4 linked regions of the Daphnia pulex genome follow. The protein of the gene in region 1 purifies or fractionates together with the protein of each later gene. This does not show direct contact. Links are inferred from orthologs where the notes say so. Each region holds a gene or a part of one and is shown in the gene's direction. Other genes may lie near its edges.

Region 1 (8,172 bases):
GGATGCTATTGAAAAGAGCAAGGGAGGAAATTACATTGAGTAAGAATGAAATGATAAACTACATGCGATTCCTCATTGATAAACGGTCATCACTAAAACAACCAAGTCAAAAACGGGTGTACGACATTCAGGCCCAGTCATTCAGGCCCGCGACGTTCAGGCCCACCTTTTTTTTACGTGCCTATCAGGCCCAATTTTGACGTCATTCAGGCCCAAGATTTCTTTTTTATAAAATTAAAAAAAAATGGGGTATCCGACGACTCCCCCTGGTGAGCACAGTTGCTCCCACACCTGGGCACTACCACTATACGTATACAGTTGTCATTATAAAATTTAATAATTTCAATTATTTCGAAATTTCTATTTCGACTTGCCCGAGATTCGAAACTCGGTCCATTGTCATTACAGCCCGGGCTTCTGACCATTAGACCACCGTTGTTATAGTGACATACAGGAAACATGGACGTTGATGGTATGGTTCAGGTATACCCCCCTTTCACTCAACCCTCTCCCAGGGGTGCGCGCAGTCCCCGTCCCCGCCGCTCAACCTCAGCCGCTAAGCCCTATATTAAAAATTATCAGTGTAAAAAGATCTTCATCCATGTATCAATCGTTTTTCGATAGCAGAAAACTTGTCTTGCTAGGGAACAAATCACTTTTGAATTATTCAAAATGCACGTCTGTTAAACGCTGATTGGCTTTCGATATATTTATGTATTGTGTTTTTATGTATAGCCTTAACTGATTGATCATTACTGATTGATCATTATTTTAAAAGGTTTAAAAATTCTTAAGTATGAAATGTATTTCCAATATATTAAACTGTGAAAAACATAAAAATTATATTGGGCCTGAATGACATTCAAGTCCGCCTTTCAGGCCCAATTTTTGCGACGTCCAGGCCCAATAAAAGTGGGCCTGAAAGACGCGGGCCTGAAAGACGCGGGCCTGAATGACCGGGCCTGAACGTCGTACACCCAACTTAAATTACAAAAAAAAACTGAAATTTTCCTTGTTTAGTTACATAATTTTTTCTACTTCGGTACTATTTAGAGTTAATTTAGATGCTTCCGATTGCGATTCCTTATGAAGATTGGCTTAGTTAATTTTAAAAATTCTTAGTTAGTAAAAATTTGTATAATCCCCCAAAATACATGTCAATAACGCTTTCGTAAAAATAGATAAAATCTTAAGACGTTGCTTTGTCTGAAGTATTTTTTAAATGAAAGATTCTTAGATTTGAAGTAAACTTGATAATTGCTTTACGCTAAGGTTTAAGTTTTTTAAAGAAATGCTAAGTTAAAAAGAAAAAAATTCTCAAAATATACAACCCTCAACATATGCTCTGCGACTTAAGATAAGGCTGTGTCTGAAATTTTTTATGTAACCCATACCATTGAAACAGCAAAATTTTAGAAAATTATGAAAGGGAATATTAACGTTTGGAAAATTTTATGCTGTGAATTGAAAAGGGATAAAATAAATGTATAACAAATATAAGGAGGCAATGCAATAAAAAGAAGGAAAATTTAAGACATGGCTTTGTCTGTTACATGAAAAAGTTTCAGACACAGCCTTATTGTCTTAAGTCGGAGAGGCCATGTTGTTCTAGAACTAATTAGTGGTAATTGATCTTCTATTTTTTTTAACTTTAATTTCCAACTTAGCAAGACATTTCATTTTATCTATGTTTTTTACTCTTGGCACTATTTTACTTACTGTACTACGCTTTGGTTGTTTCACAGCCACTTGAAACAGAATGATCGGATGATCAGAGTGACTGTTCTCGTTGGGAAAATGCCAATTTGAAATATTGGTATTATCACCTCTGAGAGTGACGTCCACCATCGCTGTTATCTGGGGAATGTATTCTAATTTGGAAACAGGAACGTTTGCTATATTTAACTTGTTTTGGTCAGTAAATGATTCCAGACACTCACCTCTTTTATCCGTAGACTTACTATTCCATAACTTATTTTTTGCGTTAGAATCCATGCCTATTATACAGACCGCTCTAAGTCAGGACCAGTCTTTATAAGATTCAAAAAATAATCTAGACTCAGAGACGGTCGGCAATATACAGAGAAAAAGTTTAGACCAGGGTATTTGTTTAAATGGACTCCTACACAATTATTTAGGTTTTGCACTGCTATATTTACAGCCATAAGAAATTTTGTAGCCAGAATTATTGCACCAAAAGCATGTTCTTTATTTAAGTTATGATGAACCGTATAATTACTAGGAATATTTGGTATAAGTAACTCATTATTAAATTTATTGGTTATGGCGTAAGGTTCTTGAATTAACGCTATGTCAATATCTAGCTCTACTCAAACTTGACTCAGGTTTAAGGATGCTACTTTACAGTGCTGCAGATTAATCTGTAAACATGAAAGTGATTTGTTATTGTGATTCATACTTTAGGCTAAGAGTTGTCTCAGTCTATCCACCACCTTAATGTGCGCTGAACATTGAAAGTCACCCGATTTGTGTGCACCTTTGCAATTCACGCATTTCATCTTGTTGTCTGGATGGATGCAGTCTTGTGTTTTGTGCGACTCTGCGAACCGGTCACAGATTTCTGCTGCCGATTTGTTTGTGCATTTAAACGTGACATGGCCCAGTTTTTTACATTTGTAACAATACGTCACCTCAAAATCCAGTTTAGCTTTTTCTACTCTATTCTCTTTTAACTCACCTGCGGCATTTTTAACTGATATTTTCCTAGCTTGGATTACTGCTTCTTCACACTTTTTGAATGTGCCATAAATCTTTGACGTGTCCTTTCTAATTCGAGAGCGGTTTGATTCTATTAATTTTACCACGTAATATTTCATTTCTAAACTCCATCTCTTTTTTAAGAACCTCTAGATTCTCTATCCCAGTCCCGAAGACTGCTATCGGGTACTCTATTTTGCGTTCTGAAACAGATTTTAAGGACGCCTCTATTTTTCCATCCGCTTCCATTAACTGTTTAGCCTTTTTGGCATCAGCGTCGTTATTAAACTTAAACCGAGCTATATTGTCTCTCTTAGTGAAAGACTGCAGCGTCAGATACTCCGAATTACTTTTAAAGAACTCATCCATAGCATCACCGATAAAATTGCTCGTGTCCACATCCGGATCTAGCTTAGCAATGATGGTGACCGACTTCGAGGCCACTGCCGCATAGGATTTACCTAGCTGCGAGTCCATTCCACTAGGTGGCTCATTCTCCTTAGTCGGCTGCCCATCACCGAATAACCCATTCAAGAACCTATTTGCAATTTTAACCTTGATGCTGGTTAGCTCACTTTCTATCTCTTTAGTATGACTGATAATGCACTCTTTCTCTTGAATGAGCGTCTCTCTTTCCTCTTTTAAATCCTTTATTAGTATATTATCATGTCTTCTCTCGACATGTCGGTCAGAGAATTCTGGCTATTGTTCTGTACACTAAGTGTACGTTTCCGTTTCTCACCATTGGTGCCACCAATACTTGATCTAGGTCTAGAGTACATTATTTTACACACCTCAGAGCAATAAAGATGATTTCCCTGCCATACTCCCTCCTATACGACGGAAATTCCGTCGTATAGGGGGTATATATTACACGAGCGAAGAAAGGCAACTTGCGTCACTTATTGATCAAGAAAAACTGAAGGTATATTTTTTAAAATAATTTAATGTCGTAGTGAATAGTGATCTAGTAACCACTACTTTGCCATTCATTTAGGCTATCAAACGACCAGTTGGAATAGCTTTTATAACCTTCGCCTCAAACATTCAAGCAGCGAGGGTAAGCCAAGATCATAGGCCCAATTGGCGATGTGGATCAATCCCAGAAAGCTCGAGCCTGATTGTTATCTTTAAGCCTCACCGTTGGTCCGTTGATTTTGCTCCACGTCCAGATGAGATCAATTGGTAACTAGATTAAATTAATTAAGGTTAATTCAAGTTCTATAATTATCCTCTGTCGTATAGGAGGGAGTATAGGATTAGTCAAGCATAAAATAATTTCTAGTTCGGCTATACGCCACAGTGGTACGCATTGGCGTAAGCTTCGCACGACTTTTGGCTATGTCGCGTACTTTTGAATTGCAATAAGATCTATTCGGCTGCGTCAATAGTCAATACAATACGTGTTACTGATGTATCGCGAATAACGTTCAGGATCAGCGCAGTGTTAATGGTTTATTTTACGTTACGTTTTTACGGGTTTATACGTTAATGGATTATTGGTCCTGATTGATCTTGTCCATTCGGAACCGTTCCGAACACAGCCGCCTATTTTATAACATTTCCCAACACACCCGCTGTGGCGCGGTGTAAAGGATTGGCCGATCGCACGATAGATGGTGTTTCTGCTTCATAAATCTTTGATCTTTGATTTCCATTTTCCAACCACTTAAAACCTAGGAGAAACCTTTTTCTTAATTATTAATTGGAACATATCGAGAACAATAATATTAAATCAATTATGGTAACTATTGAGTTTTGTGCTTCATACCGAATCATCGAAGATTAATTTAATTATTTATTTATCTAGTTACCTTTGTCGCTACTACGTACAGCCCAGAATCATCCCATGGTAAGCATTTTTTACTTTTGTTATTTACAGCAATAAAACTAGTGTTTCAATATTTACAGTTAGTGGAATTGAAAAATGGGGAGACTTACAATGGCCACTTGGTGAGTTGTGATAACTGGATGAACATCAATCTACGAGAAGTAATTTGCACCTCCAAGGTAAAGTACTTTCATTTAAGATAGTTCCGTCATCTGTATCTGTCAGTGATATTCTTGAATACGATCATAAGGTTTTACATATAATATTTAATGAACAAAAATACAATTTCTTTAGGATGGTGACAGATTTTGGAGAATGCCTGAGTGTTACATTAGAGGCAGTACCATCAAATATCTTCGAATTCCAGATGAAGTCATTGATATGGTTAAGGAAGAAGTAGTTGCAAAAGGTCGTGGTCGCAGTGATGGTAAAGGAAGAGGTGGAGCCCAAAGAGGAGGCAGAGGTGGTAGTAGAGGTATGTTTTAAATGCCAAAATTTTCTCACTCATTATCAATTAAGTTAATGGGGTATACAAAACAATTTTATTCGTAGTCTTAATATTGTTTTAGTCATGAATATTATTGAACAAGTACCAAGTTATAACAGTATTATACAAAATTTTCTGATAATGGTCCAATGGGATAAATATAGTACAATCACTTAATGCTCAAATGATTGTACAATAACTAATGTATGTTTGACTTCTTGTTAATCTCATTATTCTAGAATCATGTTCAGTATATCGTAGCTTTATTTTTAAATTACGTCGTTTCGTGTCATTTGACGAATGAATAGCTAAACATCCTATCTGCACATTCAGGAATGCCTGCTCTTATGGTTTAAAAATGAAATCTATCTACTATGTAGAGGTTTATAATTTGTTTTTTATTGATTATTATTTCAAGAGGTACATGCCGCGTCTCTTACTTGAATACTGATAATAAATTAATTTTAATATTAATTAAAAATAGGAATTTATAAAATTAATTATTTAATCTTTTCACGTTTTTTTATATTTTATTTTAACCTTCCAAAAAAAGTTTACAGTTTAATGAAGTATAGTACTACCTAGGTAATGTTTCTCAGTCGTGTACATTATTATAACTTACATTATTTCCTTTTACTAAGCGTTAGCTTATCGCAGCTACACGAATGTGCGTCAAACTCAAATTAATAGTTAATGATTGATTGAATCGATGGGATTATTTTAATTTTATTATTTAATATTTTTATTTTAAAACATATAGGCTTCGTTGACGTATAATATGGAGCATGCATATTCCTATTGATATGATATAAAATTATTCTTGTGTTGACCATCAGGTTCTTTTGGTGCTTCAAGAGGTCGAGGCGCGCCGTCGGGACGAGGTGGTGGTGGTGGTGGTGGCAATAATAAACCCCGTGGAAAGTAAATAAACTTGTCAGAATGAATGTATGAAAATAAAAATATGGCCAAGTCTTGATTTATTCGAGACGCTTTCTGTTTTGATAAAAAGATGGAAGCACTTATCTCATTCTTTCTCTTCACATTAATTTTACATGCTTAAAATAAGCCCATAAAACCTTTAGGCTGAAATACACCAAGAAACTGAAATATTTAGAAGAGAAGAAGCCCTTGTGGACTTGTAATAACACGCTGCACCTTCAGCTGTTTTGCTGCATATTTCATAAGTCAGTAGGTGCGGCGTAGTAAGAGTGGATGTGTCGGATCGTTCGTTGCCAACTGGCAAAGCGACAGCGAAAATCGTTGTTAGCACAGAAGATTCAGATGCCCATTTTTAATAACGAATGAAAACAAATGTTTTGTTTTTGCAGAAAGTTCGGCGCGCTTAATAAATGTCAAATGTGTATACATATTTTGAAGCATGAAAGTTTTTCGTTTGTTATAGATACTTTCTGCGTTATAGATACTTTGAACTTGAATGCTCACCAAATTCAGTACAAAAGCAAAAGCCATACCACTAATTTTAGAGCGACACCATAATACATCTTCCATTTTCTCGCTCAGTTGCATTCGAACGTAAAATACAATTAGCTCGTAATTACGATTTAGTTCTTAATTATTTGTCAGACGTTTGCAATAGTAAATTCGCCTTGCGTATCCGGAGAAGAAAAAAAATATATAACAATAGATAACCGATGGAAGAGAGATCTCTTGCTGCTAAGGAATCTACGGGGTGATAGACACACGAGAAAACCCAGGAGATGCAATTAGTTCTCCAATCTCCATTTCTCTCCTGTGCCTATGCACGGATACAACAGCAACGAGATGCCCGGAGCCAGCCAGCGCAGCCCCTGCTGTTCGCGCAGCCAAGCCCAACTTGGGCTTTCATCTCTCTTCGTTTTCGACATTTTCTTTCTTTCCTCCCTCACTCTCTCTTTCTTGTCCCTCCCTACCTTGAACCGAACCAGCAATTGACTCTTGTTTTAAGGGCCAAACACATTTTAACTTTGCCAGTCCTAAACCCACAGGAAACTCCCTGACGAAAAGAATGGCTAATATAGAACAGTTAATTGATCTCACAATAAAGTCATTTTCTTCTACTATACCATCTATTCAAGGCCTATTTATTATGTTCACCTTGAAGGAGAGTATTTATATGCGACGTTGTCAGACTCGAGTAGGGGTGAAAAGTGTTAATCATTAACCTTGAATTACACCAAAAAAGGAACCAGTTACTATAAATTAAATCGACGCATAACATTCAAAAGCGCCATTCAAGCAAAGGGCCTCGATAATAAATTAAATGTTGTTTTTCCGAGGCATAGTCAAGTTGCGTTCTTCCACTAGGCGATACCCGGCGATACCCTCTAGTAAAGGGCAACATCCTCTCTTCTGACTTGATATGGGGACAAAATCATGACACTAGAAACTCGTGAATAGAGCGTTAGTCGAAATCCTTCGCTAAAGACCTTTTATTGAATGGAGAAAAAAAGTTTAGTGAATAGCTTCAAGGAATTTTCGTAGAAGCGCCTTTTTCTAAGTCGTACGGAAGGGTGAAAAAGCTATAAGCCCCTATGAAAAAAGGCCTATTCCAGTGCGAGGGGATTTCAGTTGGAAAATAGAAACGAAATGAAACGATGGGGAAACGAAGGGCTTGAAGCTGCTGCTGCTGTCTGGGGGTCTGCTGGTTTAGTGAGGGGGAAACAGATGCGAAGGGGAAGAGAACGTTACAAATAGGAGAGAGGGAAAAATAGGCCTCCCTTGTAAAAAATGAAAAAAAGTTCCGACTTTTGACGCCCAGTCAATAGATTTACTACGATGCTTTCTTTTTTTCGAGCTTTTCGTCTTTCCTACTTCTCAAATTCTCCCCCAAGAGATTGTAAAGAAAATGATTCCTTCTTTGTTTCCAGTTTTCCACTTCTTTCGAATGCCGTAGGATCTTCGCTCTGCATTGTCTTTTATACAGCATTCCCAGAATAGCCCAAACTGACCAAGTGAATGAATTAACCTCCTATATACGTGAACTAAAGTTTTTGTGTGTGCCAATTGTTGTTGATTGGGGTGGGGGGATTATCTGTGTGAAAGACAGCAAAAGGTAGCCTGAGAAAAATTGGTTTCGCATTCCTCGAATGGGTCAATTGTTATTGTAGTGGGGTAGAAAATGTGACCGCCAGATGGC
Region 2 (8,757 bases), about 9.2 Mb from region 1:
GTTCGGTAGCCGGACCTACGTGACTCGTTTGCAATAAATGAGCTGATGGCACCAGACTCAAGCCACTGTTGACTCCAGCTGCCACAGGCATGGACCTCATTTTGTATGGTGATCCATCCAGCATAGGTCGAACAGGAGGTCTACAAGAAGAAAAGGAATCAGAACTACAATGGCATCATCTCTCCGGTTCCTCGTGTTTTCAATTTAACCTAGATTTGATACCTTCCAATGTGAGCAATCGGTAATGGTCCCGAAGTAGATTGAGAGGGCAGCCTGGTTGGAGTCTGTCCATAACTGGATGGCATTGTGTTGACTCGTGGACTGCTAGCTGCAGGGCTGTGAGATGGCAGTGGGAGAGATCTTACCGTCTCCATCAAGATTCCAGCTGATTAATGGGGGTTTCCGGCAACCAACTGGAATCACTTTGACATCTTGCCAGAAACTTCACAGCACTTTTATGCAGATAGTGGTAGGACGGGGTTTCAAACGACCAATTCTATTTAATTATCAGAATTGGGAGCGTTCACTACTGGTGCCATAGCAGTGGCACAGGTGCCTGAGCTGAAGTGGGGCCCCTCTTGCTCAAATTTTGAAGTTATTGTTCAACCATAAGTTCAGGCAATCTGCCTTGGCGTACACGCTGGAACGGATTCTGACCTTCATGAACGCAAAACTTATTTAACACTGGTCGCTTTGCGAATGTATATAGGGTGAAACACTGCTTAACAAGTCTCTTTGACGGACTTCTTTTCCAGAATGTGATTTTTCCCCTCCCCTGAAAATGGCGTCCGAATGATCGCTCTAGCGGGGAAAACGACCAAAGAAAAAGGCCAGCGACTATGCGACGATTCATACTAACGGATGTTTCATGTACTAACAGAAAACAACTGACAGGCGAAATGCGAAGAATTCCCTTTAATTGTTTACGTTTTCTGTTCCTTCAGAGTGTACCGAGTACTCAGATAGGATAGGGGCATTAGGAGACAGATCCGGATGAAAGGTCATCACGGTTACATAAACATTTACTTTCAACTTCAAACAAAGTTGTATGGTTTAAGCTTGTAGTTGCATTTCCCTTTATATTGAACTCACCAATAATCAATGTTTTAAAATCAAACTATTTTATTTCTTTTCATGGAACATATGTCAGCATCCTTGGTTTATTGACTTTTCGACATTATTCTTTTCCTTTGCGCCCCATCAGCAAAAAATATTTACGTCTTATTGTAAACTGCCCCTCGTCTTTATTGTCCTCATAGGCTTTCAGGCAGCTGTCACCAAATGTCAGACACACAAAAGAAAGGTGTTGGGATGAACAATAATACTTAAGCAGCAATGTAATTTGATACCTTGATGTAAATTCAGTTAAAATTTTCTCCTGCTTGGGCTCCATGGTTTTTGCAGTAATTCTGGTAACCAGACCAAGTAGTAATGTACCCAACAAACTCTGAAATAGTTGTTCTGGTTTCCTCTGTCCAAAACTCCTCTCTCAATGTCCATGAAAAAAATGAAGTTTTTCAAGATTCATTCAAGTAAATTCTGGAGCATTCAAATGTAGGATACCTTATGAAATCTTCAAACGGAAGCACTATATTAGAATATTCGTTATCTACGAGTTCACGACCACTTCCCCAATAAGGGCCTGTTCTTTGGTAATAAAGCTATTTCCAGAACAAGAAAGAAAGATTATAGTCCAAGACAATTAGGCTACCATAAATTATTAGATCTAGTACCAAATCAAAAGCCCTTTGAAAGTCTTGTTCTCTGGTTGGATGTATAAATTTAGGAAATGTGTATCCTGACAAGGCCACAATACCATTTGAACAAAGAACTCTTTTAGTTTCTTTAAAAAACTGGGGTAGATCAAACCAATGGCATGCTTGGCTAGCACTGACAATTTGCACTGATCTTTCTTTAGCAGGAATTTGTTCAGCAGGGCTTACCCTAAATAATAAATTCATTTTGTTGGTTGTTTTGGTTTAAAAAAAAAAAATGAATTCTTCATGTTACAGAAATTCAATGTTGGATGGATGATTCATGGTCTTTGCAACAGTGACTTGAGCAGAACTCACATCTGTTGCAATCACCTTTTTGAAATCTGATGAGAATAGGTTGCTGCTCTGGCCATTTCCGCACCCAGCGTCCAAACAAAGGCTTAGTTCCCCTTCATACTGCAAAACATGAAACAGGAATTTCATGTGTCCTCAGTTTAGTCACTGCCCTGGGTCAAAATTCAAACCCTAAAGATTTTCAAGTTACCTTTTCTTTAAGATAGTTAATTATTCTATTTCCAAGCTGCTTCGGCGGACACGGGCGAAATTTAGCATAAACATTAGCATGTGTGACACTTTCAAAATATCTCTGAGACATTATTGCACTTTAAGAATATTTTAAAACTAAGTTTGAATTTTGAAAATGGTAAATATAATATTTTTAAGGAGTAAATATTACCGCCAGCACTTTGTTTACTTCAAAACTGTTGTTATTGTATTGTATCGTGAGCTTCAGCCACCAGACGGCGTCGTACAAAAATACGCAACCGCAATTATGCATAACGATTGACTTTTTAAATTATTAATTATCAGAAAATCTTTATCATATCTTATCAGCCCACAGAACTCAATAGCAAATGCAATCAATTTAAGTTATTCAAAATAATATATAGGGGTAGTGCACATACCAAATATCGAAAATAACATGCTTACTTGAGACGGATATTGGTGCAATAGGCCAAAAGGAGAATTGCAATAAAAATTTTACAGTTATGGTTGATCATCTTTACTAGAAGTTAAAGTCAATTGGCGATGTTATCTGACGGCTCGTTTAGATGAAGTTGGCACTGTGACAACGAACCAAGGAGGCCATCAAGTGAAGAAATGTGCCTCCTTAAATGTCTCTTTAAAGTAATGCGCGAGGTAAACAATTTTCCACAGATGCTACAAGTCAGCTGCTCGGAATGATGAATTCCAAGATGACTTCTTAACTCTGTTTTTGCATTAAATGTCTCTTTACAAATAGAGCACTTGAGGGCTTTTACTGCAACAGCAGATTTTGAATTATTAGATGATTCTGCCGTAAAGAAAATAGACAAATTTGTGATCACTATACAGACTGGTAATACAATTTTATTTTTGTACCTGGAATTGGCTCTAAAATAATCTTCTTTTCAGTGTGTGTAGAGCACTGGGAGATTTGCCTTTTCCTTTTAGAATTGATTTCTGAAGAAACTGTGTTTTTGGTCAAATTTTCATTTGAATCATCTGTTTTTGTGGGAAGAGATTCTTGAACATTTTCATAAATTATTTGAAGATCTTCATCTTCATTTGAGCTTGAATCAGAATCACATTCAATTTCATGCGACTGCAGCTTTTGCAGCTGTTCCTCAACCTTTCTCTTTTCTAATATTTCCACTTGGAATTGTTCTTTCCCATGTAATTTTACAAGACCTTTGACTTGAAGTTCTTTGGCATATGTGGACACTGTCACCAAGTCGACTGATGATCCTTCAGCAATCCCATTGTAAAGGTAATTAACCAAGCAGACCATAGGTTTATAACTATTGAATGGTAAAAGATAAAAATGGTTATTTTTTAATAAGTTTCAAATGGGAATGACTATTACCTGAATCCTTCAAGGAAAATGACAGGCTCAACATGGGAATCACAACCCAATAGCAACTGGCTAAACAAAGGGCTAAGCGAAGCGAGAACAGAACGATTAACCAAAATTTTTTTTCCTTCACAAATTAAAGTTACATCTGCGTGACATTGATTTTTATACATGGCCAACAAATTCCGAGTCCACAGATCGTCCAGAGATTTAAAATTCGTCTTGTTTTCCATTTCTTTGTTTAAGAGTCAACCAAGTCTAAAAATCACTGGAAATATATTTCTTCAACTCTTTAAAAAAGCTAAATAAAGTATATTTCGAATTTCGTTGAGCGATCGTCTTGGATGTGTTGTTTTCAACAGTCAATCAAATCAATTAATGTTAAGCAGAATAGCAGATGTGATTCATGTGAAGATTTAAGTCTTCTGCTTGATAGTTCATTCATCTGCCGCTAGGCTGTGCGTGCCGAATACGAACAACATCGATGTAATGTTGTGTTGTCTTTGAAATTAACCCAACAACCCCAAAACTCGATCTCGAATTATTAAAGAATTATACAGTACAAGTGCTTCTATTTATACACATACACAAAAAGAGCTTCATGATGGATGTCCAGCAAGGTTTTGCTGAGGAAGATGAGACTGAAGAAATGAGTTTTGAAGGCAATGACAACCCTAATGGGTCAGGCAGCTCTGATTCTGATGATTCAGAAAAAGAAAGGGAAGAGCATTATGTTCTCGAGAGAAGAATTGTTGAACTAAGAAAAGAAGTAAGTGTTTTCCCATGTTTGTGAATTTTTTGGTTCAATTTTTAAAAAAATTGTATGTTTTTAGCTCGCAAAATCTCCAAATGCCTACAACACACATGTTGAACTGATTAGTTCTCTACAAAAACTTGGGGAACTAGATCAGTTGAGATATGCCAGAGAATCTATGCATGCCATTTATCCTCTGACTGAAGGTAAGATTTAATAAACAATTTAGATAATTTTTTTTTTACATTCCTTATTCTCTTATTTAGAACTATGGCTTGACTGGCTAAGAGATGAAATTAAACTTGGATTAACAGATGAAGACAAAAAGAAAATTGAATTGCTGTTTCAAAGGGCAACAGAGGACTACTTAAGTATATAAAAATATAAATTTTCAACTTTTCAAAATATAAATATTATCATTTTCAGATATTGATATTTGGGTGGAATACATCCAATTTTGTCTTGCTGGAATGGATATTGGAGGTGTTGAAGCATTGAAAAAAATTAGAGCAGTTATGGAAGAAGCCATTCGACATGGAGGACTTCATGTTGTAAAGGGGGCTTTGCTGTGGGATTCTTATCGCGATTTTGAAATGGCGATATATCAAACAACTAAAGGTGGAAGTGAAACTGAGAAGACCAGTCAAGCCCAAAAAATCACGCATTTGTTCAACCGTCAACTCTCCGTTCCCTTGCTGGATATGGTAAATTTCTTAAATATCGTAGATTTGTTCTTCTTACTGAAGTCTTATTTTCAGGAGCGAACTTGGACAGAATACAATGAGTGGCTTCAGATTTTGGATCAGAAAATTGAACCACATGTCAAAGCCACTTATGACAAAGCAAAGGGACAAATGGAAAAGATAGCACCCATAGAAGACACCCTGATAATCGCTGTTGAAAACGACCACAAGGTTGCAGCTTACCGTACGTATTTGGATCTCGAGATGAATGAATTTAAAGATCCTGCTCGCATTCAAGCACTTTTCGAGCGTATTGTTGCCGAGATGCCGCTGTATGACTCATTCTGGAACGATTATTGCAAGTTCGTCGATCATCAATTCAAAGCCGCAGAAACCACTTTTGCCATTTTTAAACGAGCAATCCGCAACTGTCCGTGGAACGGACCCATCTGGTCTGAGTACATCTTGGCTGCCGAGCGCTACAAAAAAGAGGATGGATTCATTGCAGGTAGATAAATAGCGAATTATAATAACCATTCATATTGTTTTTTACGTTAATAATTCAAGGGTTTACTCAACAGGTTTAGTAGAGAAGGCTTTCAATGCGGGACTAGCAACAGCGGCCGATTTGCTGTCCGTCTGGATGAGTTTCATTGAATACCTTGTACGAAAATGCACATGGGGTGACAGTGACAATGAGAACATCGTTCAACTTCGTGAAGCTTTTACACGAGCGACCGAACATTTAGATCAAAGTAAGTTTTTCTAAGACCAATGAAATCGCCAATATAAAAACTATAACTTTTTTGTTTTGTAGCTTATGATGTCGAAGGAGACCCGGAGTGTACACTGCTACAATATTGGGCATATTTCGAAGCAAAAAAGCTGAATAATATGCCTAAAGCTCGAGACCTCTGGAGCAAGATTATAAGCCGGGGACACAGTAAATCTGCTCAGTGGTGGCTGGCTCGTGTTCAGTTTGAAAGGTTATTGATCTAATTAGTTAATTCTATTAGAGTTATATTAACACAATGCTTATTATAACAGAACACACGATAACAATAAAGAAGAAGTCCGCAAATTATTTACGAAGAGTCTAAATGGAGTCTCTTCGTCCGATTGGCCAGAGTTGATCGTTAAGCAATGGCTGCAATTTGAACGCGAAGAAGGAGACTTACAAACCATGGATATCGCTAAACAGAGGTCTGAAAAATAATTTAAAGCTTTTGAAAATTTTGATTTTAATTGTTTAAATATGCCAGGTGTGAAGCTCGGATGAAGAAGGTTAATAAAGAAAGAGAGGGGCAAACGGTTCAAGAAGTAGAAACGGCTAAAGGTAGGAAACGAGGAAAGATTGAAGATGCGAAAGAATCGAAACCCGTGCCTGCCAAAAAACCTAAAATAAGCCATGATGCCGCAGCAACTAGTACGAAAGTTGTTCCCAAAAAGAAAGTTGAACCTAAAGTAAACGCCACCGAACCTGCTAGCAAGCCCGTTGTCATTCCTAAACCGGTTACCGATCCTTCCCGTCATGCCAATACGGTCTTTTTAAGCAATCTGGCCTACGAAACATCTGAACAAGATGTACGCAACATGATGAGTTCTTCCGGCACCATAACGGACATACGTCTTGTTCTGGACTACAAACAACGTTGCAAAGGATTTTGTTTTGTCGAATTTTCTTCACAAGTAAACTTCCATAATTAAATTTCCTACGCTTGTCCGTTAAATTCATTTAAAACTATCTTAGGATGAAGCGAGAGCAGTTCTGAAGCGGGACCGTGAGCTCATGAAAGGACGACCGGTTTTCATGTCTCCAAGCGAACCGGACGCAGCATTGAAGCATCCAGCTTTCAAGTACCAGTCAACATTAGAAAAGAAAAAACTGTTTATCAAAGGTACGTATTTGCGATCTTTAGGTACGAGCTTAATTTGTTTTTATCCCAAATCTATTTGATGTTATAACAGGCTTAGCTTTCACTACTACTAAAGAAGACTTGGAAGCTCTGTTTAAAAAATTTGGAATTCTGAAGGACGTTCGATTAGTAACGTTACGGAACGGTAGCGTTTAATAATCTAAATTAAATTTATTTTTTCTTTACTAACTTCTATTTAATTAAATATAAAGGAAAGCCCAAAGGTCTGGCTTACGTTGAATTCGAAGATGAAGTTTCAGCGACGATGGCTATGAACCAGACAGACGGAACTACATTCCAGGACAAAGTTTTGACGGTTGCGTTAAGCAATCCACCTCCACGTCGCGAAGACAGAAACCTGGACAAGGATGAACTATCTTTGGGTGGCGGAACACGGGTAAGGAGAACGCAAGTGTCGTTTGTTCCAAACGCCGTCCTTCGCCAGACATCTCAGTCTTCCACCATGCCGCCACCCGTCAGTGTTCCCGCCAGTGCTTCGAAGAGCAATGCCGATTTCCGGTCCATGCTTCTAAAGAAATAATTTGAAAATGACATTGAAATGGCACGAATAAATAAAAAATGGACTGATCAACATTTAATGGCACTTTAACTTTTGTGATCATTATATAGGATACAGTGATGTACCGTTACAAAATTCTGACACAAAACAATACTGAGTTAACTCGGCGAAAGAAAAATGTACAAAATCGTTGGATGAGGGGAAAGCCGGGAAAGGGTTATTTCGTCTCTTGCTATTCATCTTCCTCTGAATCCGGAGCAAAGACTTCAGTTGGTCGCTCTCTGTATTCTTGTGTTAACTTGAGACAATTCTGAAATATGTAGCGAGCCCGAGCTCTCTTATTAGGAGGTGGTTGAATTTCGGGTTCCAAATCTACTTCCATATCAGGAAACGGATGGGGCTCGATAAGAGATAGACTGTTAAGACGTGGGGTATGATCCTCGTTAACAGGCGTTTGTCGTATCAAAGGTGTGTGTAAACGAGTGTGTGTCGTGCTTGCACGAGAACCGTTCCTAGAATCGACCAAATTGGCACGCGAAATGGTCCTGGAATCTAGAAAATTCACGAGGAGAGCAATGTATGTCAAGATCCTGACTTCCCTTTCAAGCCTGTTTTGTTACCTGTTTTATTCCTCAGGGTAGGGACAGGAGACGGATGGTTGGAGGTATTGCCTTGTACTGACATTTCGTGTTTGGCAGTTCGCGAACTAATGGATGCCGTAGTGTCCAGAGCAGGCGTTAGAGTTGCAAGGAGAAAATCTGCTGAATACAAGTCATCCTTTTGTAGACTGAACAAAACAGGCCTGGTAGAAGGAATTCCGTAAATAATCGATGCAACTTTTGAATCACAAGTAAAATGAAATATTGCTTACTGTCCGGCGCCTTCCATTCGACAATCAAGATCGAGTTTCAGGGCTTCTGCGAAGGCCAAAATAGCTCGTAATTCCTTCAAGCAAAATGTAACTTGAGTACACAGAGCGACGTTAAATTCAATGAATTCATCCTTGACCAACGTGACTTCCGTACGAACACATTTGGATGGGTCTATTTCATCATCAATATGGTTACTCAAATGTACTTGATCCATTGCAAGGGACCTTGAAAGAATAAACGAAATTTGAGGTTATTTAAACATGACAATTATGTTGTTGGATTACCAAGTAACTTCTTGAGTGCTTGAATGAAAACTTTGAAGAGTTTCATTGTAAAAACGTGAAGAGCAGGAAAATTTACTGGGGTAACCCTCCTTAGAGAATTCTGCCTATGAATTTTTAGG
Region 3 (8,731 bases), on another chromosome or scaffold:
GCCGGACTGGGAATGAGCGGAAATGGAAGTCCAGGCTCGGCAGTCAACGACCTCAATTCAAGTCTGGCCGCCCTGGCCAATTTCAACAGTCAAAACATTTTCGGATCATTAGGTAAACGGAATGAGGACGACACCATTTTCAATTGGGAATTATTTCTAACAAATTTGAATTTGGCGCCATTGTAGATATCAACGCGATGAACATGCAGAACCTGGCCGCCTTGGCCGCCATCGCCAGCAACGGAAATGGAATCCAATCGCTCGGTTCAGGTGAGTCGCAGGCCCAACCGGAATTTTTATCTCACCTTTTCTGATTTGTTGATTGAATGTCGTTTTGCCGAGGGCGTGTCAAATGATTCCGACTATTTCAATTGCACCGGTGCATGTCCTTTCTTGATTTCCTTCCCCCCCCCCCCCGTTGGATTTTCCATTTTTAAAAAAGACAATTTTGGCTGAAAAATATTTTTGGGCTAAAATTGTCTAAATATTTGATGCATTTTAGGGTTCAAATTGGATTGGAAATTATTTTTCTGATTTCGTTGGTTGTTTGATTTATTTTTTGATCTCTTTTCTCGTATTTTGCAATTTGGCTCTTCTATATTTGGGTGTGTGGTGTGCTATGCTGTGGTGGTGCCTGCCCATTTCTACCCCCCTGCTCCTCCGGGTCCGTATTTCTCTCACCCACCCAAACCTCTACCTTTTTTTCATCAACCCAAAATGACGTTGTAATACGCAACAGCTTTCACGCACGGAGACGTCATTGTACCCGTGACAGCTTCAGCTGGCCATTGGGCTCCAGTTGTCGGTAAGTAAAAAACAACTAAAACCAACACAAAAAACGAATTTTTATTTTCTCGACGAGACCAAACCTTTCAAATTCGTTGTAGCTATCAAATGTGTGTGCACAACAACCTACCCAAACACGAATGGGGAATGGCATTTTTCATATTGAATTTCTCGTCTCTCTGAATTGTATAACGGAATGATTTCTTCTTCTTCTTGTGCACGTTTCTATTCGCTTTGATGACCTTTTTATTTCTTAAATTTTATTTTGGCTTTTTGTTTGTTTTTTTATATCGATTTGTTTGTGCCGGAACACACACAGACACGAAACACACAAGACACACACAACAAAAACACTTGAGAGAAATGATCAACTCAAATTGCCCCCCTCAATTATTTTTTAAATTTTTTGTCATCATTTTTTCGGCTATTTCTTTTTGGTTTTCTTTTTCTTTTTAATGGAATGCCTTTTCTTAATATATGCCCGTCTTAATGACAAGTGACGGAAACAACACGGTGATCCATTCATAGATCAAATGGGGGACAGAAAGGGGTTGATGCTTTTGTTGTTTAATGTCGCATGTTTTGATGGTTTGATTGGACTTTGAATGGGATTTAAACTGGGACATTTAAAACAAAATAAAAGAACAAAACTCCTAAATTCCCTCCCCAAAAACCGCCCGGCTTGCAAAAACAACCGACTCATCTGACACCCAAATTGATAGGAGGATCGGCCAGCAATTCGCTGGGCCATCAACTGGTGGCCGCTGGCCCCACTGCCACAGCTGCCGCCACACAACCGTCCCATTCCAACAGCCAACAACAACAGCAGCAGCACCAACACCACCACCAGAGTTTAGTCAACAATCGCGGGACAGCTGGAACAGCAGCAGCCACGGCGACGTCGGCCGGAATCAACGGATTGGGGACGTCGGCAGCCGCTGCGGCAGCCGCCGCCGCCGCCAATCTCGAAGCCCTGGCCAACGCCTACACGGCCGGCATCCAGCAGTTCACTACAGGTGCCGCCCAGCCCCTTCTCCAAACAAAAACCCCCAATTCCGCAATTCCGCAATTCCGCAAAATGAGATGATCATTTCTCCAATGTGGAAAAAAAGCGCCAAAATTTAAAAAATTGAAATAATTTCATAAGGAAAAGTTACACACGAAACAACAACATAAAAATCATCCGGCACTCTTCGTCACTTTGCTTCTTTTTCACCTGTTTTTCTTCCACTTCCGGCATTCCGGCATTCCTTTTTCGTTTCAAAAATTGATTTATTTGTTGGTTTGTTTTTTTAGCTTTCCCCAATTTCACTAGCGGCCAGGTGGGGATGAATGGCGCCAACGGCGGGAGTGTCAGTCCCCTGGGTGGCAGCGGCAGCGTGACGGGTAGCGGATTGCGCCAGCAGGAAGGGCCGGAAGGATCCAACCTGTTCATCTACCACCTGCCGCAAGAGTTTGGCGACACGGACCTCTGTCAAGCCTTTTCGCCCTTTGGCAACATCCTATCAGCCAAAGTCTTTATCGACAAGCAGACCAATTTGTCAAAGTGTTTCGGTATTTCCATTTAATTTGACATGACATTATATTTTAATCGGAAAATTTTGATGAATTCTATTTCTCTTATTTTAGGTTTCGTGTCGTACGACAACCCGATGAGCTCCCAGGCGGCCATCCAAGCCATGAACGGCTTTCAAATCGGCACCAAACGGCTCAAAGTCCAGCTGAAACGTTCCAAAGACGCCTCGAAACCTTATTAAAAAAAAAGAAACAGAAAAACTCTCGGGGGGAGAGAAATAAATATTTTGAAATTCGAAAAAAAAATTAAAAAAAGAAAAAAATATTTTTTTGTTGATGTCACTGAACGCAACAAGCCACCGCCCCATTACAAAAAAAAAGAAACGTACAATTTTCAAATGACTGGACAAACACGCCTTGCCCCTTCCCCCTTTCTTGGTAGTAAGTTGGGAATTTTAAATTTTTTTTGTTTTCATTTTATTTTTTAAAAATAATTATTATTATTCAATTTGAAATGCGACCAAATAACCTAGTCACATTTATGGAAAAAAGTGCAAAGCCTATAAACATATCATGTGATTGGTTCTTCTTAAATTTCTTTATTTCACAAATATTTCACAAATAGAGAAAACAAATTGATTTAAACCTTTTTTTTTGAATTCTTCTCGATTCATTTTTCCCGCTCAAATTCAAATGATTGAAATTTTCTAGTCTATCTCAGGGTTTTGTCGTTGACTACATGTTTTAGCTGTAACGTTTTTGTCTCTCGTCTCTCGTATCGAATGTTGTTTTTGATTTGATTTTCTCTTCTTCTTCTAGGTTTCCTTGTGTCCGTGTGTCCGTGTGTGCACCACAACCAACCAACCAACCAACCACAAATTTAAAAAAAAACAATTTCAAACCTCCTCTCGTTTTCACGTTGTTTGTCAAACCTTTTTTTCTTTTTTTCATCGTGTATCTTACTCCCTGCGTGTCTCGTACGTGTGTTTTTGTCGTCCCCCATATAGACACAACAATTGTTTGGCGTCTCTGTCGTCGGAGAAGCGGACGAATATTTCATCCGCTTCTTTTCTTTTATTTGTTTTTCATTTACACGTGTCTTGTTCTTCTTTAATTGTTATGTTGAATCATAGTATATTACCAAATTATTGTAGAGAGATTACAAAAAGAAAGCTATTTCATGTTTGCCTCCCTTTTAAAAAAGAAAAGAAGAATTCAGCTAGGCCAGATGCCAAAATGTCGTTTGTTTGTTTCTTCAATTTTTATTTTTAGTTTTTCCATTTTTTGGATTATGTTTGATTATGTTCCGTGTCCCATTTGTTTGTGTGTCTTTTGATTGTTTTAGTTTTTTTCGATGTTGATTCGACATGGATGTAGTGATCAGCTAGTCTCACCCACACACACACGTATAGGTTATATATAATTATATTAATTTCTAATTTTTAAAAGTGACATTAATTCAATTCGAAAATACGAACGTGTATACCTCCCCCACCACCACCCACCATCGACTCTTCATTTCTGTTCGAACCGTTTGACAACAACAACAACAACACGCAAGATGTTGGAAACAAGGTGTGGCGCCGTGACACCTACATGTGCCTTTTTGTTTTGTTTTTTGTTCTTTTTGATCGAAATTTCCTCGGCAGTGACACGTACAGACGCACGCCCTAGTCATGCAACAAGAACACACACACACACGTCCGACGGCCAATTTACCACAAGTATCAAATGATCCCAAATGTCAGTGTGACGTGCAGATTTTTCGCAAGGACCGGCAAACATTTTTTGGCAACCAGGTGGACGTTATCCCCCAAAAAAGGACTTGACAAGCACCTAAACAAAAACTTGTATATCTCTAATTGTGTTTTTCTTCTTTCTTTTAATTCGATTGTCTTTTGTTCAAGTTCCAAGTGAAAATTTTTTGTTGTGTTGCAAAAAGTGATGTGACGGAGTTGTTTGCTGTTGTTGTTGTTGTTGTTGTCTGGTGGGCACGTGAGATCTCGTCGTTTCATATTTTTCTTCACACCCCATTTCCCACGTTTACCTTCGTTTGAGAAAAAACAACTACGGTTGGCGATTTTTGAAGCGTCAGACATTTTTCGATACTTAAAGAAAAACTAAAACAATTATGTTGCAAGACGCCAGCAAGAGAAATTCGCCCGTGTCTATTTTTTGAAAGAAACACACACAAACTCGTGACCTAATGAGCACTTGTTGATGGTAGTCATGTTTGTAGTATTCATTTTTCAGTTCTAATTAGACAAGTTCCTGCGAGAGAGAAGAAGAAGAAGAGAAATTTGAATTTCGGGTGGGATCGACGATGCCAAATTTTATTTTTGTTTTATTTGTACGACTTTTTTTTTTGTTTCATTTTTTTCACGTTTGCACCGCAAATTTAGACAAAAATTTGATGTTACAAATTGCGATTTTTTTTTGGAAATATTTGGTGTGGAATACTTTAAACGTGTTTCAGCATGTCGCAGAGCGATTTCATTTGCCCGTTTTTTATGATGATTTCCCCCCTCCCGAATGATGGCAGCCAAGTGAAACAGTTAATACAATATTTTAAATTAGCGTCTTTAAAATAAATGTCGATTTCAATTAAATTAAAAAACAAAAGTAGGTGTGCGAAAATCGTTTTTAAGAAAAGAAATCTGGCAACGCAGCCACTCAGAAGACCGACTACAAAAATGGCAAAACGTGTTTCGTGCGGTCTCGATTTCGTTTCCCCTGCCGATATTACAAATGCTCTACAAATCGCCACAGAATCCAAGTATTAATTTGATTCCCGAAATTAATTTCACAAGAAATTGCCCCAGTCACTTGTTGCTAACAGCGTAATACTTTTGATTTCGTCAGGTATGATTTCGCTGCACTGCCAATCGCCCATCCGAGACACAAAAGAGATTTCTCCGGAAATTCTCAAGCTCGACGTCTCTCAGCTTTCACTCGAGCTGATCTCATTCTGAACAGCTCAGGTATAAAAGATAAAAAAAGTATAAATGTGTGCCGAGTGATCCCCTAATTGAAAGTTGAATGATCTCATTTCAAGACTGGAGCACGCTCATTGTTGGAAAGATTTCTCCACACATTGATTTGGATCATGAAGACAAGTTGCTGCGGCAAGAATCTGAGAAAATGCTGGAGCAAGAGTTGTCCTTTGCTGGACATCTGGGTCTCCCCGCTGTCCTTGTCCCCTTGAGAAAGAACAACACAAATTTTGCCAGATTTATGCACAACAAAGTGTTGTCTTCACCGATGAATCAGGTATTTCATTACCAATATTTTCTTTTTGCAGACGATTCAATTATCACTTTGTGCCTAGGCCAGGTACCATGTTTGGCTCCACCTCCCCATGATTTCCCCGAAAATTGAGGCTAGTCTGTTTGAAAGGGATGTGGATGAAGAAGAAGTTGATGATACTTGGCATTGGTGGAATAACTTTCGCATTACTGCAAACTTTGAGAAGAAACTCTCACTGGCCCTGGAACTCACAGCTGATTTGCCTGATGCTGAAGACATTGATCGTTGGCTGGGAGAGCCAATCAAGTGTCTTGTGGTTCCTACCCATTTATTCATGACCAACAAGAAAGGGTTTCCAGTTCTTCCCAAATCCCACCAAGTGGCCATACGTCAGTTTTTACGCCAGAAGACGCAAATTCTGATCACTGGAGCTCAGCGCCACCAACATTACAAGCATTATCAACAATATATTGAGCATTTGTGGCAAGTAAGGGGAAACAACAATCGCTTACTTTCCTTTTCAATCATCATATTGTGTTTTCTTGTAGGTTGGGTATGAATCAGATCCAGTTATGCGATTTGCACAAGGTTACGAAGACTTTCTCCAATTTCCTCTCCAACCTTTGATGGATAATCTCGAGTCTCAGACCTACGAAGTATTTGAAAAGGATCCCGTGAAATACACCGAATACCAGCGGGCGATGTATCTGGCCATCCTGGATAAAGTCCCGTTGGAAGAAAAGGACACGAAAGTCATGTAAGTTTTGTTTTTTGTTTCTTTTCTACCGAGATCTCCGTCGTAATTGAATTATTTTTGAATAACAGAACATTGATGGTTGTCGGTGCCGGTCGAGGTCCTTTAGTTCGTGCTGCCTTAACTGCCGCAGAGAAAGCTGATCGTCGCATTCGTTTGTACGCAGTGGAGAAGAATCCCAACGCCATAGTCACGTAATGTTTTGCCGCAGAAATGTTATCACTCGACTCGTATTAATCAAGTCATTTTCATTCAATAGTTTGCAGTGTCTAGCCGACGAAGAGTGGGGGGATCGAGTGACTATCGTTTCTTGTGATATGCGCGACTGGGATGCACCTGAAAAGGCAGACATCCTCGTCTCGGAATTGCTCGGATCGTTTGGAGATAACGAGCTATCGCCAGAGTGTCTGGACGGCGCCCAAAAATTCTTGAAAGGTGCCCGTGACATTGTCGTTATTTGGTGGAATACTTTGTTGCTCATTTTTATTTCATTCTTAGATGACGGGATCAGCATTCCTTCGAGCTACACTTCATTTCTGGGACCAATCCAGTCTTCCAAATTGTTCAATGAAGTGCGATCCTGTCGGGAGCGTGACAAGCCTTACTTCACTTCTTTCGAGATGTCGTACGTCGTTCACTTTCGCAACAGGACAGAACTGGCTGATCCGCAGGCCTTGTTTACATTTACTCATCCGAATAGAGGTCAGGAAAAAATTGTTTTAAAAAGCTCTGAATTTCTGCTTTAATCCTTGACTTGACTTTGACAGAAATGCCAATTGACAACAGCCGTTATGAAGTGCGGAAGTTTCCTATTAAATGCGATGCTATGCTCCACGGGTTTGCCGGCTATTTTGAAACGGTTCTCTACAAAGATGTGATGCTCTCCATCAACCCTGCAACACACTCGCCTGGAATGTTCAGTTGGTTTCCAGTTCTTTTCCCCATCCAGAATCCCATCAGTCTGAAGAAGGTAAATTCAACTGTCTCTCCCGATATCTAGACAACATTTTAAATTTTTCTTAATTTTACAGGGAGACGTTCTCGAGATTCATTTTTGGCGTTGCGTCAACCGCACCCACGTCTGGTACGAATGGTGCGTGACGAAACCTCATGGCAGTGCCATTCACAATCCGTTGGGTCGCTCGCACAATATTGGCCTCTAAATGTAACTTAATAACTAAGCATTGTTATAATCATGATTCCACTCGTGTCTAGTTCTTCCCTTGTTCATCATGGGACTGAATACAAGGATTGTTCAAGTGTTAACATTTTTGCAATTTTTTTAGAACTCAGTGGCCAAGGAAAAAGGTTTCTAACAAGGCTCAACTGTGTTCAAATCATGAAATGAATAAGAATTGATCATATTTTTGAAACATAGATAAGGTTGCAGTGGGATATCTTCAAAAAAAGCCGACTATCCTTCAAACGGTTCGAATTGGAAGATTTATTCATTCACCGAAAAAACGAGTCAATTTACTTAAATGTCAATTTGGATAAAGTGAGTTTTAAGTCATTTGGTATTAATTTGATATTGTTTGTTGTAGACCCATCCCCGGCAACGTCAACCTGCAGAAGGAAGAGGTCAGTTTGCATGTCCTTCACTTTCGAAGGTCACTGAGATCATTACGTAAAACTGTCAATGTTGTGGTGTAGAGGTTGGGTAAGAACGGAAAGTTTTACATAACCATTTGGTATTCATTTTGATAATGTTTTTTTGTAAACCCATCCCCAGCTACGTCAACCTGCGGGAGGAAAGGCCAGTTTGTATGTCATTCAACCGAAGGTCACGGAGATCATTACAGAAATTTGGTAAAACTTTCATGCAGTGGTGTAGAGGTTGGGTGAGAACGACACGTGTTGCTTCATTAGCAAGTAGGAACAATTGCCGCAAGGCTTGAGTTGAGAGGTAAGGGTGAGAAAAAGTCGTATAAAAGGAGAGAGAAAAGGCCACAGTGATCAGTCGAGTTAGCGTCTCCGACACGGGAACAACTGCAGCCCTATTGGTCTCCAACTGCCTTCTTCATCGCATTATCAGTTTGCAATCATGGGTAAACATTCAGTTTTTTTTATAACATGGAGTTGTGAATCATTCCATATTTTTCAGTTTTTTAATTTACTAGTTCTAACTGACAATTAATGTTCAAATTCTTTACTGTTTAGTCAACTGTGGGTCGTGCTGCTGTTGGGTGTTGTATCGTTGATGGCTGGGGAGACCACGGGAGTACCGATGTCTTCTGAGTATGGTGGAGACCAAACAGCAACGCCTCCGCCTTGCTACACAACGAAGTCAACATACGCAGCATCTACTTACTACACCGAGGCTCCCAAGAACTACACAACCGAGTTGTCTGCCTCAGCCTACTACACCGACGCTCTCAAGTACTACTCTTCAAGCTACTACAAAACTGAGGCTCCTGTTTACTACGCCAA
Region 4 (6,714 bases), on another chromosome or scaffold:
GTTACGTGTATACCTGTCCTACGAATGCGACAAGAGACGATTCTTTTATTCGTGCCGCATTAATCCTCTTGCTGAGCTGCTGCAAATTGCACCTTTATACTTAAAACTAAAAATTTCGCCATCTATACGAAAACGATGGAGTGATCATAGTATCATACACCGAAACTAGATGGCGTGGAACGAAACGTTAACAAAACGTTTTTATTGAGTACCTGAATGGCTGAATCGAATTCTGGAAAATTTAGATCTCCAATATATGATTGGATTATATATGATTACGAATCACATGATGGCAAGATTATTTACATTCTTAATAAACTTGGATAACTCGTTTTTACATTCTTAAGTCTTAACAGATGCATGCGTAATTATTAGTAATTGCATACGTAGGAGATGTCACTTTCTCCCTGCATGACAGAAACAGAAATTTAGTAAAAATTTTGAATTCGATTATAGGAAGTACACCTAGAAATGTTACAGTAACCTAACCGAGTTTATAAGATACAACAAAATATATTGAGTAGTAACAGATTCACAATTTAACACATAATTAAGTCAAATAGGAGGAAATAAAATCATTCATCATGTTCGTCGACATGGCTTGAAATTGAAGTATTTTTAAATTGCACTATAATATGGATTAAATTTTTTTTAATGTCTTACAACTTTATGAAGTTTTAACGAATAGTTTTTTACGTTATCCGTCACTTTTAGTTTTTGATGTACATAATAAATGCACGTCTAATTTTTATCTATTACTAAGCTATAGAATTTTTCAATAATATTGGATTTCCATAAGCGCATAACCTGACTGCAATTAATTCTCGATCAACCGCAAATTCAGTTTCTCTTAAACTAGGTACACATGTAATGCTCAGTGCTTTTTTTTGCCAATTGTGCAACGCTGCTATGAGAGAGGGGATGTATTTATTACTGGGGTATGGGGACTGAACGCAAAGAAAGGAGCAGAAGCATCAGAACGTCGAATAGACAAGGTTGCTCAGGATACACCTTGTCCAGAAATTGGAACACAAATCATCACTTTTGCCAACTCAATTTTAATTCTAGGTAATAACTCATCCTTTCCAATTGTATTGGAGCCAAAAAAGTAGGTTATAGTTAATTTTCTTTGTTTATAAAATACGTTTATGATGTGAGGTTTCTGGCGTGACCGCTAGATGCTGCACAGCGTGTGGATTTATTTAAATTTGAAAATTATTTAGAATTTGCATTAAAAACTTCTAAAATTGCAATGTTTTAGTGTGTCAATGTTTAAGCAGAGAGATGTGTGTATTGTAAAGCTGTTTTCTTTTTACAGATTGCTGAAGCAAATTTAATGAAACATCATGGCATCAACCCAAGTAGTCTCTCTCAGTATTGGACAAATGAAGCGGGTGCATTTTCCTGCAGAAGGGGATGACAGACCTGTAGAAGCTATTCCACATTTTGTCAGTCCCAAAAAAATGGTGAAACCAGTAACAGGCAGTCAGCGCAAAAGAAGTCTCAGTCTTTCATTTGAAAGCAAGCAACATCACTTCAAGAGAAGACGCAAGGAAGAATTTGTGAGACCAACAAAATTTCTACTTGGAGGCAATAGTCGAGACCCGTTGAACTTGGGCAGTCTAGCAGATGAAAGAATCAACAAAGCTTTGAATGAGCATACCCCAGAATCCTCTCCGTTACCAACCCCTAAACACAGGAAGGAAGAAATTGAAGTATTAATTCCATCAAATATAAGGGATCCTTTAAACCTGAGTATGCCAGATGATAATTTAGCGGAAAGAGCGTTAATATCTCCGAATGCCGTCTCTAGAAAAAAGAGAGGACGAAACCGTAAAAGAAGGAGGACCAATAGCGCCAGTGAAGTACTGGATGCTGGACGACATTCACCCGAATTGAGCACGCTCACATTGGATCTCCCTGTAGTCAAGCAAGTCGCTGTTGAGTTGACTGAAAGTCATGCGACAATCGAAACAAAGCCAGAACCTGCTGTAAGAGAATTCAAGGATCTAAAGCTGAAACCTGAACCAATTAGACATTGCAGAAGGCCGGAAGACAAAATTGTTAGCCCTGTAGTTCCACAACCCGGAGCTAGAAAACGTTCTGGATTTTTCCCGAGATCCCTCTCTAAAGAATCTTCCGTCAAAAGTCAAAGTCAGCGTCCTTTTTCTCGATGCCCTTCAAGAGAAAGTCAAATCGCCGGAAGCAGTCAATCGAATAATAATCCCGAACAGGGCTGTTCATCTCACAATCTAAAGGAAGTTAAAAGATTTCAGTATGGCAATTACGATAGGTAAGATTTTTGCTTGTTTGTTTTGTTTTGTTTTGTTTTTTTTTTCTTTTTGCTAAATTTCTTTAATATTCTAGGTATTATGGCTACCGCAATCCCAATTGCGAGGATTTGCGCTTGCGCTCCTTTTGGCGTGAATGGTTCGAAGACAAGGATGTGTTGGATATTGGATGCAACGCAGGACACGTCACACTTTGTGTAGCTCGTGACTTCAACCCGAAACAAATTGTTGGAATTGACATTGATCCCAAATTGATATCAATTGCACGCAAGAACATCAAAACTTATTCAAGTTCACATCCGACTGAACGCCAGTTTCCAGTTTCCATGCCACTCATGTACGGATCCATCCCCAGTACCCATTCGTCGGCCTCTTCATCCCGCTTCCCAGGCAACGTTTCATTCGTCCAGGGAAATTATGTTCCGGAAAGTGATGAATTCCTTCAAATGGTCCAGCCAGAATATGATGCTATTCTTTGTCTTTCGGTCACGAAATGGATTCATCTCAATTGGAAAGATGCCGGCCTCAAACGTTTCTTTCAGAGAATTTTTGCTCATTTGCGACCAGGAGGAAGATTGATACTTGAAGCGCAGGGTTGGGCCTCGTACAACAAAAGAAAGAAACTGACCGTGAGTTTCAACATATCTTTTTTTCATTTTCCTTAAGAAAATTGTTCTAATCAATTATCTTTTTCTCTATTTTTAAAGGAAACAATTGCTGAAAACTATGCGGCTATTCAGCTATATCCAGAGCGATTTTCCGACTATTTGCTCTCCCAAGTAGGATTTTCCACTTGCGAAGAAATAGCTACCCCACACCATGCTGCTAAAGGCTTTCGTCGACCGATCCATGTTTTCACTAAACCTACAAATAGTTGCCCCACAACGCCCAAAGAGATCAGTGGGTGAGAAGTAACTGGGACTGCTGTCGATTGCTAATGTTAGCCAGTATCGTCAACCATGTACAGTTATTTTCGTTCTCGAAATCGCTTGTTTGCTTTCACCATTACACTGTTCGGCAAGTATTCACGTATTCCTTTGAGTTTTCAAGATCTCTGGTGTACCCTTTTCTTGTTCCAAATTCTTCTCCAACTTGTAGATTTTCCTTTCATCTATTTGTTTCGTTTTTTCAACTAAATTTCATTGTTGGATGAATTCGGCTGGATTGGTGATACGTTTAGCACAATAATGTACAGTCGATTATATTTTATAATAAAAGACTGTTGAATCAGAATTTCGCAATAGAGATACAGTACCTATCTGTATGTTACGTTTGAAACGGAAAGGGTTGGGTAACAGAAATTCTAAATTTTTTACTTCTCAGTTTTGTTTTATTAGGCTTTGTAGGAAGGGGCAGAATCAGATATCCCATCCTCTGATGTAAAAGAAATATCCGACGAAAAATAGAAATGCCTACAAGTTTTTAGTTGCCATCCCCTTAAATCTAACCATAGTATCCAAGGTAACTAAGAATCGTTTCTAATGTTATATTTCGGTATTGTAGTAAGATAAAATTTTACTATTCATTAGAAATGCCAGTCATTCAGACATCGGACCAATAGGAGGTAAGGGATGTTTAAGTAACCCCTCCCCCCCCCCTACAGACAAAAAAGATAACCCTTAATGTTTTTTATTCTTCAGTTTGGTTCTGTTTGAGCTTGAAATAATTATCTTTTCGTATTTCAAAAAGAGCTTTTATTACATACCAAAGCCAACGATGAAAAAACCGTCATTGAGTTACGCAATCTGAAAGGTGTAAAGGGCAGTATTACAGTCATAAACCAACTTCTTTTAAGTTACAGCTAGCTATAAATCTTCGAATTTCTAAATTTTTCTAATTTCAAAATAGTTGGCGAAACTCGACAAGAACTAAGCGAAGTGGCCACTCGACTTACTACCAGAAAAAGGGTGTGTGTAATATAAACCGTTGCAATCGAGATGCTTTATTTTGTCTGTTATTTTTTTTTTTCTTGCTTGCAGAATGGGCCGGAAAATCCTAGAAAATCCCAATTTCGAAAAAAAAATATCTATGCGGTAAAGTGTGGGTAACGAAAGAAAGGGAGGAGAAGGCATTACTTTCCGGTATTGTTGTAGATAAGTAATATTTCAAAAAATACAAACCGTTTCTTTGTTTTTAAAAAAAAGCAAATATGTATTTAGACTCTGACGGTGGGACCCACAGGGCAAGATAAACATAAGAACATACACACAACCGTTTGCGTTGCTCCCAGGCCCACCATAAGACAAGCGAGAGAAGAATACGATGATAATGAAAGAAAAAGTGAACCGTATACATCCCCTGCGAAGTTTCTGGATCCCTTCTATACTATACTCGCCCCTACTACAAGAAAATGTTGAGTAGTGCCAGGAATTCACATTTTTCAAGGATTTGCTGTTTTTTAAAAACTATCGACGAAAAGGTAAGCCTTAATTTTTTTACCTTATCTTTATACCGAATCGAACGTCGAATTCAATTGGAATTTTGGGGTTTGCAACTTGAAAATCTGTTTTCATTTGGAGTTGGTTTATAAAAATTGAGGTTGAGTTGCCAAATGTGATTCAGATACCGGGAATGTTTGTTTCCGTCCGTTGACATCCACAACGGAATGTATACACAGCGCTAGGCCTATGCCTATTTTTATCTACATTTTGAGATTTCCGTTTCCAGGTCATTGAAATGTTTGTTTAGGTTCCGGATCTTGTAATAAGGTTCACGTACTGCGTTGAAAAAATAATTTTTTGTGCGTCATACAATATCAAATAAGCGTAAAACATGCATTCACGATATTTCGCTATTTAATTGGCGAATCGCGAAATGTCGCCGAATGAAATAAAAATGTTTTCCATTCGAACCAGTACCTAACGCCATCTTTGATTTAACGGAGTCACCAAATTTAGTTCCGTTTATTGATACCAGATCCTCGAACTGGAGTGAAAATGGAAAATAAAAAAAAAACAAAAAAAAAAGAAGTTGAAGGGGGCCGCTTTTTAAAAGAAATCCCATTTTCAAAAATACTCCAAGACCTCTTAAGTCGGCTTGCAAACTGAGAAGCTGATGGCATACACGTAGCCCACTGGGCACTCTAGCCCGTCAGCAAAGAACGGCAATGGGAATGCCTTTTCAGTAACCATATCTGGGAGATATATCTTTGGCTCTATATACAGGTTTTTCCAAAGTTAAAAGTCCTGGCTCTGAAAATGAGAGACAATATAAATAAACTTCGCCGAATTTCCGTTGTGATTGAACTGTGCCGATTAGGAGGAATTCAAAACGGGTCAACTAAATTAAACTAAACCCCAGCTCTTTCCAATCATTGTACCGGTTTTTATGCATATTGCATAGCATGTAAACAGAACCCCAAAATGCGGTTAAGAGAAAAAGTATTGCAAAATAATTCCTCGGGCGTGACAACAATCCTCAGTAGTTCCCGGCAGTTCCATCAAACTAGTTTACTAGTATACGAAAAACCTTTTTTCAAATCCATTTTATACTATATAAGCCATACTGACTAGATATGTCTCTTGAGTTAAATAGTAATTGTGTTGCTAACCAAATGAAAAGGAAAAATGGACTATCAGTTAAGTTCAGATATTGTGGCCAGAGGCAATCGACAAAGTCCTTAAGGTGTTTCTTCTTTGAGTTTGAATTTACGAGGTCTCTCTACCTGTTTTTCGTTGTTTTGGTACTCTTATATATGATAGTTCTCAGATGCATTAGACGTACGGTACGATTTTTTAAGGAATAGTGGTACAAATAACTTTGGGAAAGGTCTTCAAGTTCGGACTCTCTATACCAAAACAATTGAGAGGGCAATTAACCTGAATTGCTATTTTTTTTTTCCTGTTTACAATACACAGGTATAGTCCTGCATGTATTTTGATCATAAGAATATGCTTCTCACACTCTTACGTAATCGGGTATTATTTCAATGACCAATATTAAATGAGGACATTTAGACAAAGACATTTTATCAATCAGGTTTTGCAAAAATTCGAGTTCCTTTATCCTTAATAGAAAAAGAATAACATGCACTTTGATAAACGATTGAATCATATAATAATCCTTTAAACGCCATTCATGGAAAAATCATGTACGCAGGTTTATGTAAAAACAAAATGGATATTGTCAGTCCCGGTAAAGCCAAAACCGTTTATACTTTGAAGTAAAATGTAACAAATGGTTGTTTTCTGGAGGGGAGATTGTTTTCAACGCTCTATAGAACAGTCACGAATTACATCGGTGTAGAACCAAATAAGCCATGACGCAATGGAGCGGACCATTCGTTGGCTGGCGCAGAGAGAGAACCCAGGGCAGTGATGTAACGCTGGCTCACACATTATGCTGCCGACCGTTGCTACCCCTCAAGGCGGCTATATACTCTCCGCTCTCTCCTTATATTCTCTTTCTCTCTCTCCCATTTCTA

The links.
Region 2: the proteins of U6 snRNA-associated Sm-like protein LSm4 (region 1) and squamous cell carcinoma antigen recognized by T-cells 3-like purify together in Homo sapiens (affinity purification with mass spectrometry; 4 studies listed by BioGRID and IntAct, counting the BioPlex papers as one, with this or other methods). This does not show direct contact. The link is inferred for Daphnia pulex from reciprocal best matches to the Homo sapiens genes LSM4 and SART3.
Region 3: the proteins of U6 snRNA-associated Sm-like protein LSm4 (region 1) and protein arginine N-methyltransferase 5-like purify together in Homo sapiens (co-immunoprecipitation; 3 studies listed by BioGRID and IntAct, with this or other methods). This does not show direct contact. The link is inferred for Daphnia pulex from reciprocal best matches to the Homo sapiens genes LSM4 and PRMT5.
Region 4: the proteins of U6 snRNA-associated Sm-like protein LSm4 (region 1) and probable RNA methyltransferase Y17G7B.18 purify together in Homo sapiens (affinity purification with mass spectrometry; 3 studies listed by BioGRID and IntAct, with this or other methods). This does not show direct contact. The link is inferred for Daphnia pulex from reciprocal best matches to the Homo sapiens genes LSM4 and MEPCE.

The regions. Positions count from the first base shown.
Region 1 is NC_060026.1:5,480,549-5,488,720, reverse strand, and holds U6 snRNA-associated Sm-like protein LSm4, read left to right. Parts: upstream 1-4,314; 5' UTR 4,315-4,459; coding exon 4,460-4,462; intron 4,463-4,528; coding exon 4,529-4,570; intron 4,571-4,629; coding exon 4,630-4,728; intron 4,729-4,843; coding exon 4,844-5,024; intron 5,025-5,872; coding exon 5,873-5,961; 3' UTR 5,962-6,143; downstream 6,144-8,172. UniProt on the Homo sapiens protein: Plays a role in pre-mRNA splicing as component of the U4/U6-U5 tri-snRNP complex that is involved in spliceosome assembly, and as component of the precatalytic spliceosome (spliceosome B complex).
Region 2 is NC_060026.1:14,701,347-14,710,103, reverse strand, and holds squamous cell carcinoma antigen recognized by T-cells 3-like, read left to right. Parts: upstream 1-4,048; 5' UTR 4,049-4,210; coding exon 4,211-4,378; intron 4,379-4,442; coding exon 4,443-4,569; intron 4,570-4,629; coding exon 4,630-4,734; intron 4,735-4,789; coding exon 4,790-5,067; intron 5,068-5,121; coding exon 5,122-5,554; intron 5,555-5,627; coding exon 5,628-5,801; intron 5,802-5,863; coding exon 5,864-6,032; intron 6,033-6,093; coding exon 6,094-6,249; intron 6,250-6,308; coding exon 6,309-6,735; intron 6,736-6,796; coding exon 6,797-6,944; intron 6,945-7,014; coding exon 7,015-7,107; intron 7,108-7,174; coding exon 7,175-7,503; 3' UTR 7,504-7,561; downstream 7,562-8,757. Other genes in the region: uncharacterized protein LOC124203973, read right to left, coding at 1-164, 223-374; putative methyltransferase DDB_G0268948, read right to left, coding at 1,362-1,488, 1,564-1,661, 1,734-1,944, 2,011-2,171, 2,260-2,370; zinc finger and BTB domain-containing protein 18-like, read right to left, coding at 2,795-3,069, 3,138-3,556, 3,622-3,842; cell cycle checkpoint control protein RAD9A-like, read right to left, coding at 7,715-8,034, 8,091-8,284, 8,354-8,578, 8,639-8,742. UniProt on the Homo sapiens protein: U6 snRNP-binding protein that functions as a recycling factor of the splicing machinery. Promotes the initial reassembly of U4 and U6 snRNPs following their ejection from the spliceosome during its maturation.
Region 3 is NC_060023.1:12,075,999-12,084,729, reverse strand, and holds protein arginine N-methyltransferase 5-like, read left to right. Parts: upstream 1-3,306; 5' UTR 3,307-4,892; coding exon 4,893-5,077; intron 5,078-5,163; coding exon 5,164-5,282; intron 5,283-5,356; coding exon 5,357-5,571; intron 5,572-5,629; coding exon 5,630-6,034; intron 6,035-6,095; coding exon 6,096-6,304; intron 6,305-6,372; coding exon 6,373-6,495; intron 6,496-6,560; coding exon 6,561-6,736; coding exon of another isoform or gene 6,737-6,799; coding exon 6,800-7,003; intron 7,004-7,068; coding exon 7,069-7,271; intron 7,272-7,332; coding exon 7,333-7,464; 3' UTR 7,465-7,567; downstream 7,568-8,731. Other genes in the region: CUGBP Elav-like family member 1, read left to right, coding at 1-112, 187-270, 740-805, 1,509-1,802, 2,083-2,340, 2,416-2,543. UniProt on the Homo sapiens protein: Arginine methyltransferase that can both catalyze the formation of omega-N monomethylarginine (MMA) and symmetrical dimethylarginine (sDMA), with a preference for the formation of MMA.
Region 4 is NC_060021.1:10,086,615-10,093,328, forward strand, and holds the end of probable RNA methyltransferase Y17G7B.18, read left to right. Parts: intron 1-788; exon of another isoform or gene 789-859; 5' UTR 860-1,068; exon of another isoform or gene 1,069-1,108; intron 1,109-1,318; 5' UTR 1,319-1,346; coding exon 1,347-2,293; intron 2,294-2,367; coding exon 2,368-2,920; intron 2,921-2,998; coding exon 2,999-3,199; 3' UTR 3,200-3,524; downstream 3,525-6,714. UniProt on the Homo sapiens protein: S-adenosyl-L-methionine-dependent methyltransferase that adds a methylphosphate cap at the 5'-end of 7SK snRNA (7SK RNA), leading to stabilize it.